Solanum lycopersicum: one gene and its partners. The protein of the gene in region 2 binds, or shares a complex with, the protein of the main gene of each other region. Links are inferred from orthologs where the notes say so. Each region holds a gene or a part of one and is shown on either strand. Other genes may lie near its edges.

Region 1 (2,617 bases), on a different chromosome or scaffold from region 2:
AGAAATCCCAAAAAGTGGAGTCTGGGGAAGGTAGAGTGTACGCAAACCCTACCTCTACCTAGTGGAGGTACAAAGGTTGTTTCCAAAAGACCCTCAGTTCAAGTGAAGTAAATGAAAGTACTAACAAAAAGGGAAAACGACAATAAGGAAAACATGAGAACTAGTAATAGGAAAGCACTGCAGAGGATACATGCAAGAAACAATAACGTCAACAATATAGTGCGATCAACATATAACAATAGCAAGAAACTGCAAGAATAAAGCTACACACTTCCTCCAGACTACTACCAAAGCCCAAACTCAGCAAATAGCAAGATCTTAGTGCACCGAGCTGCCCTTTTAATATTTGACAAATATAGTGAGCTGAAGCAGGAATACAGACTATTTTCTTGGTTCAGTGATAATGGAAAGAGCAGAATAGTACATTTCACATAACATAAATCCTCTCAAACAGTTATGAAGTAATCCAGATAATTATCCGCCAAATACGAGGACACAAATTTAGAACAATTGGCCAAGGATAAATTCATTCTACCAAAAACATAAAATTTACAAAATTCCATCTCTCAGAAAAATTTCAAATATTGATCCAAATAGACAATAGTATTAGCTTACCATATCCAAGAATTACAACAAAAATTATTGACTTCCACCTTCTTCCTCCTCCAATTTCTTTACATAAGCCTTAAGAACCATAACCAAATTCCTTGCTGGAGCTTGAATAGTCCCAACAACAGCTGAAGCAGGTCCTTTCAAAGACCCAAGAAGCTGTGAATAAATCTCAGCTCTTGTAGGCAAATTCTCAAGCACCTTAAACTCATCAGGCCCATAAAACTTCCCTTCAAAAACCCCACCAGTAAAATCATTATCTTCCAATTTCTTCTCCCTTAGAAAAGTCCTATAAGGTTTCAAAGCAGCTGGGATTTCTTCACTATGAACAAATAACCAAGCATTCATTCCCTTCATACATGGTTTCAATGCTTCCCATTTTGTCCCTTCAATTGCTTTAAGTACCAATGTGTTCTTAGCAACAAGAAGCTTTGTTGTTTCTGGGAGTTGAGCCCTAAGATCTTGAAATTGCTTAACTGTTAACCCCTTGTAACTGATTCCAGCTAAGAGATAACAATCTTCAAGCTGTTGCTTCACTGTTTCGACTGTTTCTTCTTTCTTGGTTCTGCTAATGGCTGAACGAATAGTTAGAGTTCTGGGTTTGAGTTTGAGGTGAGAACTGGAATGGGGGATTATGAAGGGATTGTTGAAGTGGGATTTCACGGAAAATGGGTAAGAGTGAGAGGAAGAGGAAGGTAAGCTGAAGAGAGCAGCCTCCATTGATGATAGCTTGAGAATTGGATTGCCTTATCTTTTGTGCTAAGATAGAATTTAGGGGTATTTCATAAACTTTATGTTTTTGAAAATATTTATGTCATACCAAACAAACCATTAAAGAAGTTAAAAAAGGCAAAATAGGTGTAATATTTACATATATTTTATCGTCTTTAATTTATAAAATTATGTTAGATATATTTTTATTATTATTATTAACAAAATTCTTGAGATGATTTGATATGATATATAAAAGATAATAATTTCATAAAATGTAAAATTATTTTATCTTATATTTAAAGATATTAATTATGATTCGATCAGTTATTTTAAATATATATTATCATTATTTTCAGATGCTTTATTAATTTTTTTTTAAAAAAATAATATAATAATCATATCAATTTTTCTTCTATATTAAAATATTTTATTAATTTTGTTTGAATTTCATAGTAGAGTCGCATTAAGTATAATCAATGCAAATATTATATGATGTATTTGGCATTAAGGTGTATATAAGATATGGAATTATGTGGATATTAGTAAAAAAAAATATTCATGCATTAGCATAATAAAATCACTATTGCTCTTCAAAACTCTTTTAACATCATTTTACTATATTTGTGAAAGATACTTATATAAATAAAGAATTTTGTTCAAAATTGATGTAATACAGATTATTTTCTTTACGTCAAATCAAATATTAAATATAAAATAATACTCCTATCAAATATAACTCATACAAATATTAATAATAATTAAATTATTTACTACTAAAATTCACCATATTCAATATTATTCCTTCTACACCTCGTCAATCCTTTTTCAAGTATGTATATCTGTATCTACAAGTTTATCAATTAAAAATGCTGGCTTAAAATAAATTTAAAGAGTCAAGAATATTCAAAAATTATTTCTGAATGTAATCAAAATCACAAGTGATATTTTTGTTATTTTCTCTGCTCAGGTCCTAGACTTTGCTTCAATTATATTATATTATATTATTTTAATAAATATAATATTTGAATAGATTGTATCTGTATAGTAAAGACAGAGCGTGAGGTGAAATCTTTTACATAGTATATGGTGAGGCGTATGTCCTGAGACACAAGACGTAAGTCTCATAGTTTTAAGGGGCATAATCACATGTATATTCAATTTTTAGTTTAATTATTAATAAAATAAGCAAAAGTAAATCTTTCAATGATTTATGATTTTTATTTGAGATAAGTATTAATAATCGGTAATGAACAAAAAAAATAATCTATAATTACTTTTTGAGAAATATCATGAA
Region 2 (5,821 bases):
AACATTGTCATCTTCTATTATTGGAAATCATTTCTGTCAACCCCATTTATCTGTAATTTCATATTCTGCTAATTGATTTCCTTAGCTTCTTATAAGCAGTTGAAGATGCAAATCAATCAATACATCAACAATCTACTGAAATAGCTCATAATACATCTATCTATCCAGTCAAATGAAGAAGTTGGAAACAATCTTTAAGCATAATATCAAACCCCAAATATTTTGAATTAAAAGGTAGAAAATTAGTGCAGAATAGGTTACACCCAGAACGAGAGTAAATTATTTTAGTGGGGTGGTCATACCATTGAATTGCACATGCGTATGTGTCTGAATAGTTGGATTTGCAACAAATGAATTGTTGAGGGTAGAGTTGAATGTGAGATGGATTCGGTGGGAGTGGATAAAGAAATTGGAAGTGAAGGAAACGTAGAATAGAATGAAGAGACAACTCACAACACCTAAGCCTGCCGGTATCAATATGAACATCACTCCCGACGCCATTGGAGCTGCTTCTTGCTTCTTCTGCCTCCCTCACTGCACATCACAAAATGTAGGTGGAACCATTAATGGGGGTACAACCATTTAGCCATTTTGTACAACAACATTTTGGAATTCTTCATTACATTCTTTCTCAGGCTAAAAATACAAAAGAATCACCTATGTTATTAACAATACATCCAAATGGACGTTAAATATTATTTTTTAACGTTTTCTCATCAAACCACAAGTCATAATAGGAAAAATAATACTCCATAATCAGTTCTTAATAAAATTGATAAAATACTCTAGCTAGATTTACTTCTTTAATTTTGTTTTTTTTTCAAAAAGTAAAATAAGAATTTAGATTAGACCTAAAACTTCTAGGAAATAATGCATTTTGGCCATATCTAAAAAGTAGTGATAAATAAAGTAAAAGGCCATTATTATTAAAGTATTTTGTCGTTTTGTATCGGCCAAATAATATAAGGCCAAGTGTAAAGCATGTCGTTCATTTTCTATTGGCTAAGTTTGTAAAATTGTTGTATAAATAGAAGGCTTCCCGTCATAATAAGATCATCATCTTTTCTCCACTGTAATTTTCTCTCTCTCTTCTCACGATTCCGCTTCCACCCCCAAAATTGTTATCACTTATTTTCCTAAAAGGTTAAAACACAATTTTTAGAAAAAATTCATTTGAAACATTTTCACTCCTATCAAAGACACCCTTTGACTTTCTAACTTGTGGTAAACAAAAACGAATATATAATATTAGATTGGGTTAGAAAAATGTTGCTCCCATTATCGTTTTTCTTTATTTTTCATACTAAGGCTATGTAGAAGTGAGCTTATGATATTTGCAGATTTAGTCATTTAGTTGATTTAGAGAAATGCATATTAGAGCAATTAAAAGCTCATGAGTCATGTCAGAGTTTGAATCCTATAAATAGAAGTACTTCCAAGTGTAAATAACGCTTTATTTGTTTCATATAGTGAAAACAAGATAAGAATTGTGATTTGCCTTTGATGGAACAAAAAGGATTGATATGGGAAAAAAAATTCACTAATGCTGGATATCTGATCTGAACACCAAAGTCTACTAAATAAAGTGAATATTTCGCTCATACAAACTTCTCATGCATTAGGATAGTATGCTTCTTATACCTACGTCCGGCATTACCAAATTGATGAGAAATAGAATATTACATATATTGTCTTTTCCGAGCTACTAATTTATAGAAAAAAACCATAGACAGGTCGGTTTCTGGTTCGGTTGGGGCACATTTCTAAATTGTATTTCAACTTACACATGCCAACAGCCGGATGATCCTGCAGCATACTAGTAAAATCCTCAGTTACGAAGCAAAATTTAGTAACACAAATGCAATTCTGAAATTTCCAAATAACTGCAGTTACAATCCAAGCTCACCCAACATGTGAAGAATGATTTGTGAGAACAATATAGCACCCTTACATAAGGGCCTTGTTCGATCGATGTCCATAAAACACCTCAACATGTCAGTCTCATATTCCCCTCTTTGGTGGAGCAACTTTCTTATAATACTTTCTCCAATGACAAATGGAAAACAAAAGAAAACATTAGACCTCTGAAAAAGCCCTATGATGAATCAGACAAATGAAAACCTGCTGAGTCTACAAATTTCTCAGGGTCGATTTGTTGACCAGACTCATGAACAAGATCAGAAGGAGAAAGCAAAAACCAATCAATGAAAGAGTGGACAATACAAAAATATGGAAACTAGTAAATTAGTTCTTTAAATAAAACAGATGAAAATTACAGCAGCCCAAAATTCTGAAAAAGATAGTTAACATATTACCAACAAAAATCAGTTGCAAGAAAACAATAAACATTAAGCTCGTTTTCCAGTTCTAGGTGAAGACTTTGGGCAGAGATCCCATCGGCCTTTTGCACGTCTTCGCTGGATAGTTGCTCTGCCACTGGTGGTGCTCATACGCTTGCGAAAACCATGTGTTCGAGCCAACGACTTCCTCGACCTATTCCTCTTAGTCTGACAAAGAGCATACTTCTTTGCCTGCACCACCAGGCCACGCCTTTTAGTGGTGCTCACTCCAATGTTGGAATTGAAGCCAATGCCAAATGATGAACCTACACCACATATTAAACCATTAGCTCGCTACTATTCATCATGCCAATTTAATATGAAATTGATCATATGTCTTTTGGACCTTAAAGGTCTCCTCTTTGTTGAAACTTTTTTGGTTCAATTGTTTTATAATCTAGCTTTAACCAATGGATTTTGACTATAAAATCAGAAATACGATTCACTTTTTTTCAATAGCACAGCAATGTCAGACCACAAATAGACACTACAAATTTGTGTTATATGGAATACTAAACATCAGAATGAAGAATTGCAACCTACTCTTGTCTCCCCCTTGTACCTTCAAAGAGTGTATATAATTTAACAGGACTCAAGATACACACAAGCGAATAATTGCCTATTAAGGAGTTCTCAAAAGAAGCAATTCAAATGAAAATACTACCTGCCTAAAACAGGAATCAATAAACAACCCCACATTACCAATTCAAATAACAACTGAAATCTCTAATTCACATTTTCAATTTCCACATCAAAATTGAAAAGGAAGATAGAGAATTTATGGAACTTACCAGAAAAGGATGTTGAAGAAGATAATGTAGAGAGTGCAGAGGAAGGAAGAAAAGAGCAGTGAAGCAACCCAGAATGAGTAGAGGCATTAGCAGCCATTTTCAAAGAAACAGAAGTAGTCGTTGTTGAAGAACCAGTACGTAGAGAAAGCGAAGCGGATGGTCTGTGGTTTCCTATTCCTGAACATACCCAACTTCCCATTGACAAAGAAGCCATTTTTTCTCTCTTTCAAAACTCTCCCTCTTACTCTTCTGTCTATCTATAAGAGGTTTTGATGCCTTATCTGCAATCCAAGGGACTCTTTAGGTAATCCGAAAAGATAAACGGGTTAAAGATGGATTTAGAGAGGGTTTGACACAGTAAAACACTTTTATTTAAAGTGGAAAGGGTAAAAATATTTTTCAATTTTATTTATTGATTTACTATGTCTTTTACCTTAAAAGGAAATTATTTTTACTCTTGTCGTTACTAATTTTCATCATTTATGCCCCTCAATTGGATGAAAATTCCAAATTTACTAAAATTATCCAATTTCATCATTTTGACCCAAATTCAAGAGCCTTTTGGGGAAAGAGATCCCAAGAGTGTAGATCTTTCATACCTTAGGATTACTTAGTGTTTGATGGATAAAATTTGAAGTATTTAAGTCCTACTCAAGCTTTGAATTGTTCTTCAATGGGGTCTTGCAATAGAGAGAGAAAGAAGAGAGAAGTTGGAGAGGATTTGAGTTTGGGAATTGTGGGGTGTTAGGTTAGTTTAATGAGGCTTAGGTATTATATAGTCCTTCAACTAACTTAATTAACCACCCCCTAACCCTTAATTAATTAACTAACTAACTAACTGATCAAATCCCCAACTTAAAAACTTGACAGCAAAACAAACCCAGTCGACGACTCCTCGACCTATGCCTTGTAGTCCCATCAACGGCCCCGTGCTGCTGGTCGTTGTTTGGGACAGAGACTTGATTTTTGGAGCATCCAGGCCAATTGAATAAGTGTCAACCTATGAGGCCATCTACGGAGCGTCGATCAAACGACGACTCCTCGCTTGGCTCGTGGTTGTACACTGTCAATTGACAACTTTTGGGTCCAAATGGAAGGGTCCTCCTCAAGGACCCCTAGGGTGGCCCTTGGGGAGTCGTACCTGTACATTTCAACCCTAAATACTCTCTTCTATATATGTAACGCCTTTTTACCAACTTTCATTAAATTACGACTCTTAAACCTCTATGCAACATGCCAAGGCACACGAGTGCATATTTCACAATCATCGAACGTCATGGTCATTTCTTGACATTTGACTCTAACACTTCCTAAATACTTTAAATATAGTATTTCAGGTAAATAAACAGTTTTTGAAGTGTTGGTTCATTATATGAATCTCTAGATTAGGTCATGGACTTTCGAAGTGTTACATTATCCCCCTTTAGGAACATTCGTCCCCGAATGACAGTAAAAATCTTTTGTAGGGGAAATTAGGAGACTCAATACTAGCAGCCCAACCAGAAACATATAAACAACATGAGTTAAAAATTAAAGGTGTAATTCACAAGTCCATTCAACACACAAACATGGAATTTGACAAATAGGAATAACCGAACCACGTCTACAAAATGCCAGTACCATGCAGCTGCTTCAAAGCCAACGTGATGCTCCTTGGTCATCTATAGCAACTCAAATCACAATTTACCACATATAAGAGCTCAACATCACAACATGAGGAACTACCTTCTCAATATTAATATGAGCTCAACATGATCATCAAGCCACTTATTCTTCAAAACATCATGCTCAATACCAATTTACGGGGGCAACAATACACAAAACACAATTAAGTACAAGCTATGCAAAAGAGCACTTTCACATGAAAAATCATTTTAGCATGAACCTTTACCATAAATATGCACATTTTAGCAAAACAAGATAAATTCAAATTTATTTATTATTTTAAGAGAATTATTTCTAAAATCAACTTTGGATAGAATTTTGAGGAAAAAGATGAGGATAACGGGACTTCAAATTGGCCTCGGACTCCCATGTTTCTTCCTCAACAAGGTGGTTTCTCCATAGGACTTTTATGGAGGCCACCTCTTTGTTCCTTAACTTTTTGACTTGATGATCTAGAATTTCCACTGAAACCTCTTCATAGGATACTCTCATCCACACCTAACCCTTCAATGGGGAGAATGGATACGGGGTCGCCAATGCACTTCTTAAGCATGGAGACGTGAAATACCGGATGAACCGAAGCTAGTTCACTAGGTAATTTCAACTCATATGCAACTTTTCTGACCCATTGCAAAATCTAATACGGACCCACATATCGGGGACTTAACTTTCCCTTTCTATCGAATCTCATCACCCCTTTCATAGATTAAATCTTCAAATACACCATATCACCTACTTTGAATTCATGATCTCTTCTTCTATTGTCGACATAGGATTTTTGCCGACTATAAGCTGTTTTAAACATATCCCTTATCACCCGAACCTTCTCCAAAGCTTCATATTTAATTTTGGGACCAAGGAGTGAAGACTCACAAACCTCAAACCACCAAACCGTAAACCTACATTGCCTACCATAGAGTGCTTCAAAAGGTGTCATGGAAATGCTTGAATGGTAGCTATTCTTATAGGAGAACTCAATCAATAGTAGGTGATTGTCCTAGTTACCTTTAATATCTATCACAAAAG
Region 3 (4,124 bases), on a different chromosome or scaffold from region 2:
ATACTCTACCTGAAAAAACAGAATGTATTCTCTTAATATTCTATACGCTACTTATCATAAAGAGGCGCCAAGATATTCGAGCACAACCGACAAAAATGCAGGAAAGCAGGGGGGGAAAGGAAAGATCATGATGATGTAAGGCAAAGGATGCTTCACTGGGAATATTTGATTACTCTTGTCCCTAATTTGTTTTATTTTACCTATTAGCTCAAAGGCTTTAAGTAGTTTTGGACTAAAAAAACAAAGGAATTCAGGATGCAGTTTGACAAATGCAGCAACTTAGAAAGGGAGTCAAAGCAAGCAAGAGTGTCAGTGATATAGTGCTCCTAATGACTCTCATAATGTGCTTTCTGATTAGTAAACTAAAGCTTCATCAGTGATCTAAAAGCCAAATACTCTGCCATTACTGGATTTCACAAAAGGTAAGTCAACCCTTTACAATTTGTTGTCATACAATGAGAACGAATTAAACCAAGCTGTTATCATCATATTCAAAATATAATGTACACCAGAGGGGCGAACACACCGAAGATTCAAGTTCTGTAGATTTTTCCTTCCAAATCTGCAGCTAACACACTCTCTCAGCCTCTCATTATTGGTTTCGTCTTCTTTTTAACTAGTTTGGTCACTTGTAATAAGGACACAGGTGGGTAAATAAATATTAAAAAATGCAGAAGGTGAATTTGAGAGGTAAATGGATTTACATATTCTTGATAGCGAGAAATCTACTTTCATAAGCTTTGAATCTCATAAAGCTTTTATTTCACTATTAGGCTGCAAGTTTCATGGAGAGAAGAATAGGCAGATGGAAATCCTGCTCATTATCAAGAGAGGTGAAAGCAAGAAAATGAAGCTCCCTTTAGGCTGCAGTCAGTTTTTAATGAGACCTAAAAGGCCTCGACAAGAATTATAATATCTTCTCATGCATATAGTATTTCTTTTGCAGCTTTGTCTATGAATTGCAGCAAAGGAATGCAAACTTTGTTAACCAAAAAACTGTTGATACCATCTATATAAGAAATTTATCATGAAATAATTTATAATTCTTCACTTGGACAATCTGTTATGCCTTAAATATCGGCAATCCTTAAGTCAGAGAACAAAGAGCCAAGGAGGAAAAATTAGGGATCATTCAGTATATGAAGACAACTATGGACAAACTTCCAAACTATATACCGTATTTTATTGATCTTGTTGTTATTAATGCAGTTAACGCGGCAGCTCCCTTTAATCAATATGCTGTAGTCCATCAAGCTCTTCCCAGTTTGTTAATTTTGCACATGGTGAGGTTGTCCTATCCCTATTTCTTGCGACTGTAGACAGACTTTTAAACCCCTGGAATGATGACACCCCTTTAATCTCTCCTCTTGAAGTTATATAAGAAGTTGTTTAGATAGTAAACTATAATATGGTTTTTAATCATTGATTATCATATGTAACTTAATAATATGTGATTAATGTCAAGTGCTCAGCTTACCATACCACAGATTTCAAGAAAACAATATATTTAGTTTGCAAATTGCAACTGAATCAAACTTTTTCCAACTTTGGCTATGTCTTCAGATCCTCCACATTGTAAGGGATAATTTTCATCCCATATCAGCAATACTAACTTTCACTTGGTACTAAACAATCTAACGTAATGTGCTATCAACACAAAGCACATATCTGAATTCTAGACACCCGACTACTAAATGGGGTCTCAGGTATGGAATGAGCAATTATCTGAGTAACACTCATGATGATTTCGGTCCTGTGACCCTTTGAGTACGGCCACTCCACACACACACAAATAAAAAGGCTACCTGCACCAAAATGATGATTCATCGTATTAACATTTGAAAGTTATCATCTTTCCTTTTTCCCCATCAATGTTCAAGAAGAACTTACTATCCCTACTTCATGGGTAGAGGGACCGAAGGTGTATACCATACAGTATCCCTTTGCATGTGATCCAATTAATTGAAATTCAGAAAGCTGAAATGTCACCTCTACCATCAATAGGTCTACAAAGTTAATATTTCCGCCCCTCGAACTCGTAACCTTCAGGTCAGCAAAGGAGCAACCTTGCAATTGCACCAAGACTCTTTTTTTATTTTAAATAATGGTAATGTCGGGGTCAGTTTGCACATACTTCAACAACCATTACCCTAAGTAACAAGTACTTAACTAAACTTCAAATTATCAGATACAATTTCCTTTTGACAATTGTGGTGTATGGCCAGTATGCGCACACCTCGACTAATTCTAAGGTTACCTACTGCCTCCCCACAAGCACAATTTCTTACACACAATTCACAATATTGTTAAAACCCAACAATTCACTGAAACAAACAAAACAACAAACAGTTCATGTGCATATTACTAGACCAAAAAAGAAACAACCCCAACAACTAAAAACACAGAGAACACAACAAAAGGGTAGAGAAATTACGAGCAACAGGTTGAAGGGCTGTCTTGAAAGGAACAGAAAGTGAAGCAGGAGAGCTCAAATGGGTGCTTGAAATCTTGATGCCACTCAATTGAGAAGTCACAAAACTCAACTCTGAGCTGAATTTCACCTTGGGTAAAGCCCTTTTGGTCACTGCAAATGTCCTGTAACCACCCACTACTGGTCCTCTGAGGCTTATACCCGCTGTGATTGTCGCCATTTTTGCAACCAATTCCTCAAAGCAAGAATCTTTTTTGTCTCAAGAATGTTGCTTTTTTTTTTGAAGAAGGAAGTGAAGAGTGGATAACGAAATGGATGTGGGTAATGATTTTATTTGTTGGCCTTCATATTTTTTTTTATTGTTATTATATATTTAACTTATTTTTTCCTTTAGTCTAATAATATCAAACGATTTAAATAAAAGAATAAATAAATAACAAAATCTAACTTATTTGGAAGTAATATGTTATCATAGTTATGCTTTAATTTTATTTGCATTACTTGTGTTATCTTAGTTTATGCTTTAATCTTATTTCCATTACTTACTCACGTGGAAGTCTAATATCACAAACCAAACAAAGAGAGTATTAAGCCTATACCAAAATCAAATCATTATTAAGCCTATACCAAAATCAAATCATTATAATATTAAGCGTTTTCTCCCTCTTCAGGTTCCACTTATGATAAACCAAACAAATAGACCAAAATCAAATCATTATAATATTGAACGTCTCTACTATCTTCAAATCAATCACACTATGTTATGAATGTCCTTATCTCTCTAACCAAACAACCCCTAAAATCTGTTATCCCATCAACTGTCCAACTGAGTCAGTGACCAACATCATTTAGAACTACAAGCACAAGACATTAAGGCAAAATAATAAGAAGGTAAATAAAAGATTTCAAGAAGCCATAAGATTGTGCTCCTGTATATTGTAAGTAGTAGGTAAACTGTTGCAACTTAAAAACAAAGTTCATAATTTTTAGATGACATAATACAATGGCTCATTCCTTCATCCCATTCTACATCTGGGAGAAAACATGTATTCCGCTTCAAATCGGGTACGACTCTCGCACTAACAAAAGGGTTAACACCAAGGCATCTCAATAATGGTAAAAATTGCAAACAAACATTCAGTTAAGCATTGTGAAATCCTATGTTAACGTCGTTCAAGTTTGGGGAGATCTGCATAAGGTTTTGAATGGGCCAAAAGAAATTAGTTTTGTTTAGCAAACTTTGTCTGATAGAGATCAAGGGGAACATACTCCACAGTCACTATTCGGTCGTCAAACAGTCGTCCATGTAGACAATGAGCAGCCGTGCATGCAGCTTCTGCTCTTCTAAACTCCACAAGTACACAGCCCGGATCAAACACTTCAGTAATAGGGATTTCTTCCTTTTTCTCAAGTTCCTCTGGAGCATCCAACTCTTCTTTCGATGAGAATTCTGGTTCAGAAGGTCTATCGTCTACATTTCCATTGTCTTCCTCTGACTTAATTGCTTCCTTAACTGGTGAGTCATTGTTTATCTCAAGATGCTCCAGTGGACTGGGATTAGCATTTTCATCTTTCCTTTCTGAAACCATACCAGTACGGGTAACCTCGAGATTTTCTTGGAAGATTGTCTCTTGAGCAGAGACACTACTGTCATCTGGTAGAGGGTCAGAGCTGTCGTCTTTTATTAGCTCCT

What was found. The genes of interacting proteins can lie anywhere in the genome.
Region 1: large ribosomal subunit protein bL34c (region 2) and large ribosomal subunit protein uL10c share a complex: the UniProt entries of both Arabidopsis thaliana proteins name them as parts of the 50S ribosomal subunit. The link is inferred for Solanum lycopersicum from reciprocal best matches to the Arabidopsis thaliana genes AT1G29070 and EMB3136.
Region 3: large ribosomal subunit protein bL34c (region 2) and large ribosomal subunit protein bL28c share a complex: the UniProt entries of both Arabidopsis thaliana proteins name them as parts of the 50S ribosomal subunit. The link is inferred for Solanum lycopersicum from reciprocal best matches to the Arabidopsis thaliana genes AT1G29070 and PRPL28.

Annotation. Positions count from the first base shown.
Region 1 is NC_090803.1:3,526,213-3,528,829, reverse strand, and holds large ribosomal subunit protein uL10c, read right to left. Parts: upstream 1,434-2,617; 5' UTR 1,330-1,433; coding exon 640-1,329; 3' UTR 501-639; downstream 1-500. UniProt on the Arabidopsis thaliana protein: This protein binds directly to 23S ribosomal RNA.
Region 2 is NC_090800.1:53,255,432-53,261,252, reverse strand, and holds large ribosomal subunit protein bL34c, read right to left. Parts: upstream 3,472-5,821; 5' UTR 3,345-3,471; coding exon 3,131-3,344; intron 2,606-3,130; coding exon 2,349-2,605; 3' UTR 2,229-2,348; downstream 1-2,228. UniProt on the Arabidopsis thaliana protein: This protein binds directly to 23S ribosomal RNA.
Region 3 is NC_090808.1:67,409,465-67,413,588, forward strand, and holds the start of large ribosomal subunit protein bL28c, read right to left. Parts: upstream 2,801-4,124; 5' UTR 2,652-2,800; coding exon 2,435-2,651; intron 10-2,434; coding exon 1-9. Other genes in the region: uncharacterized protein, read right to left, coding at 3,652-4,124.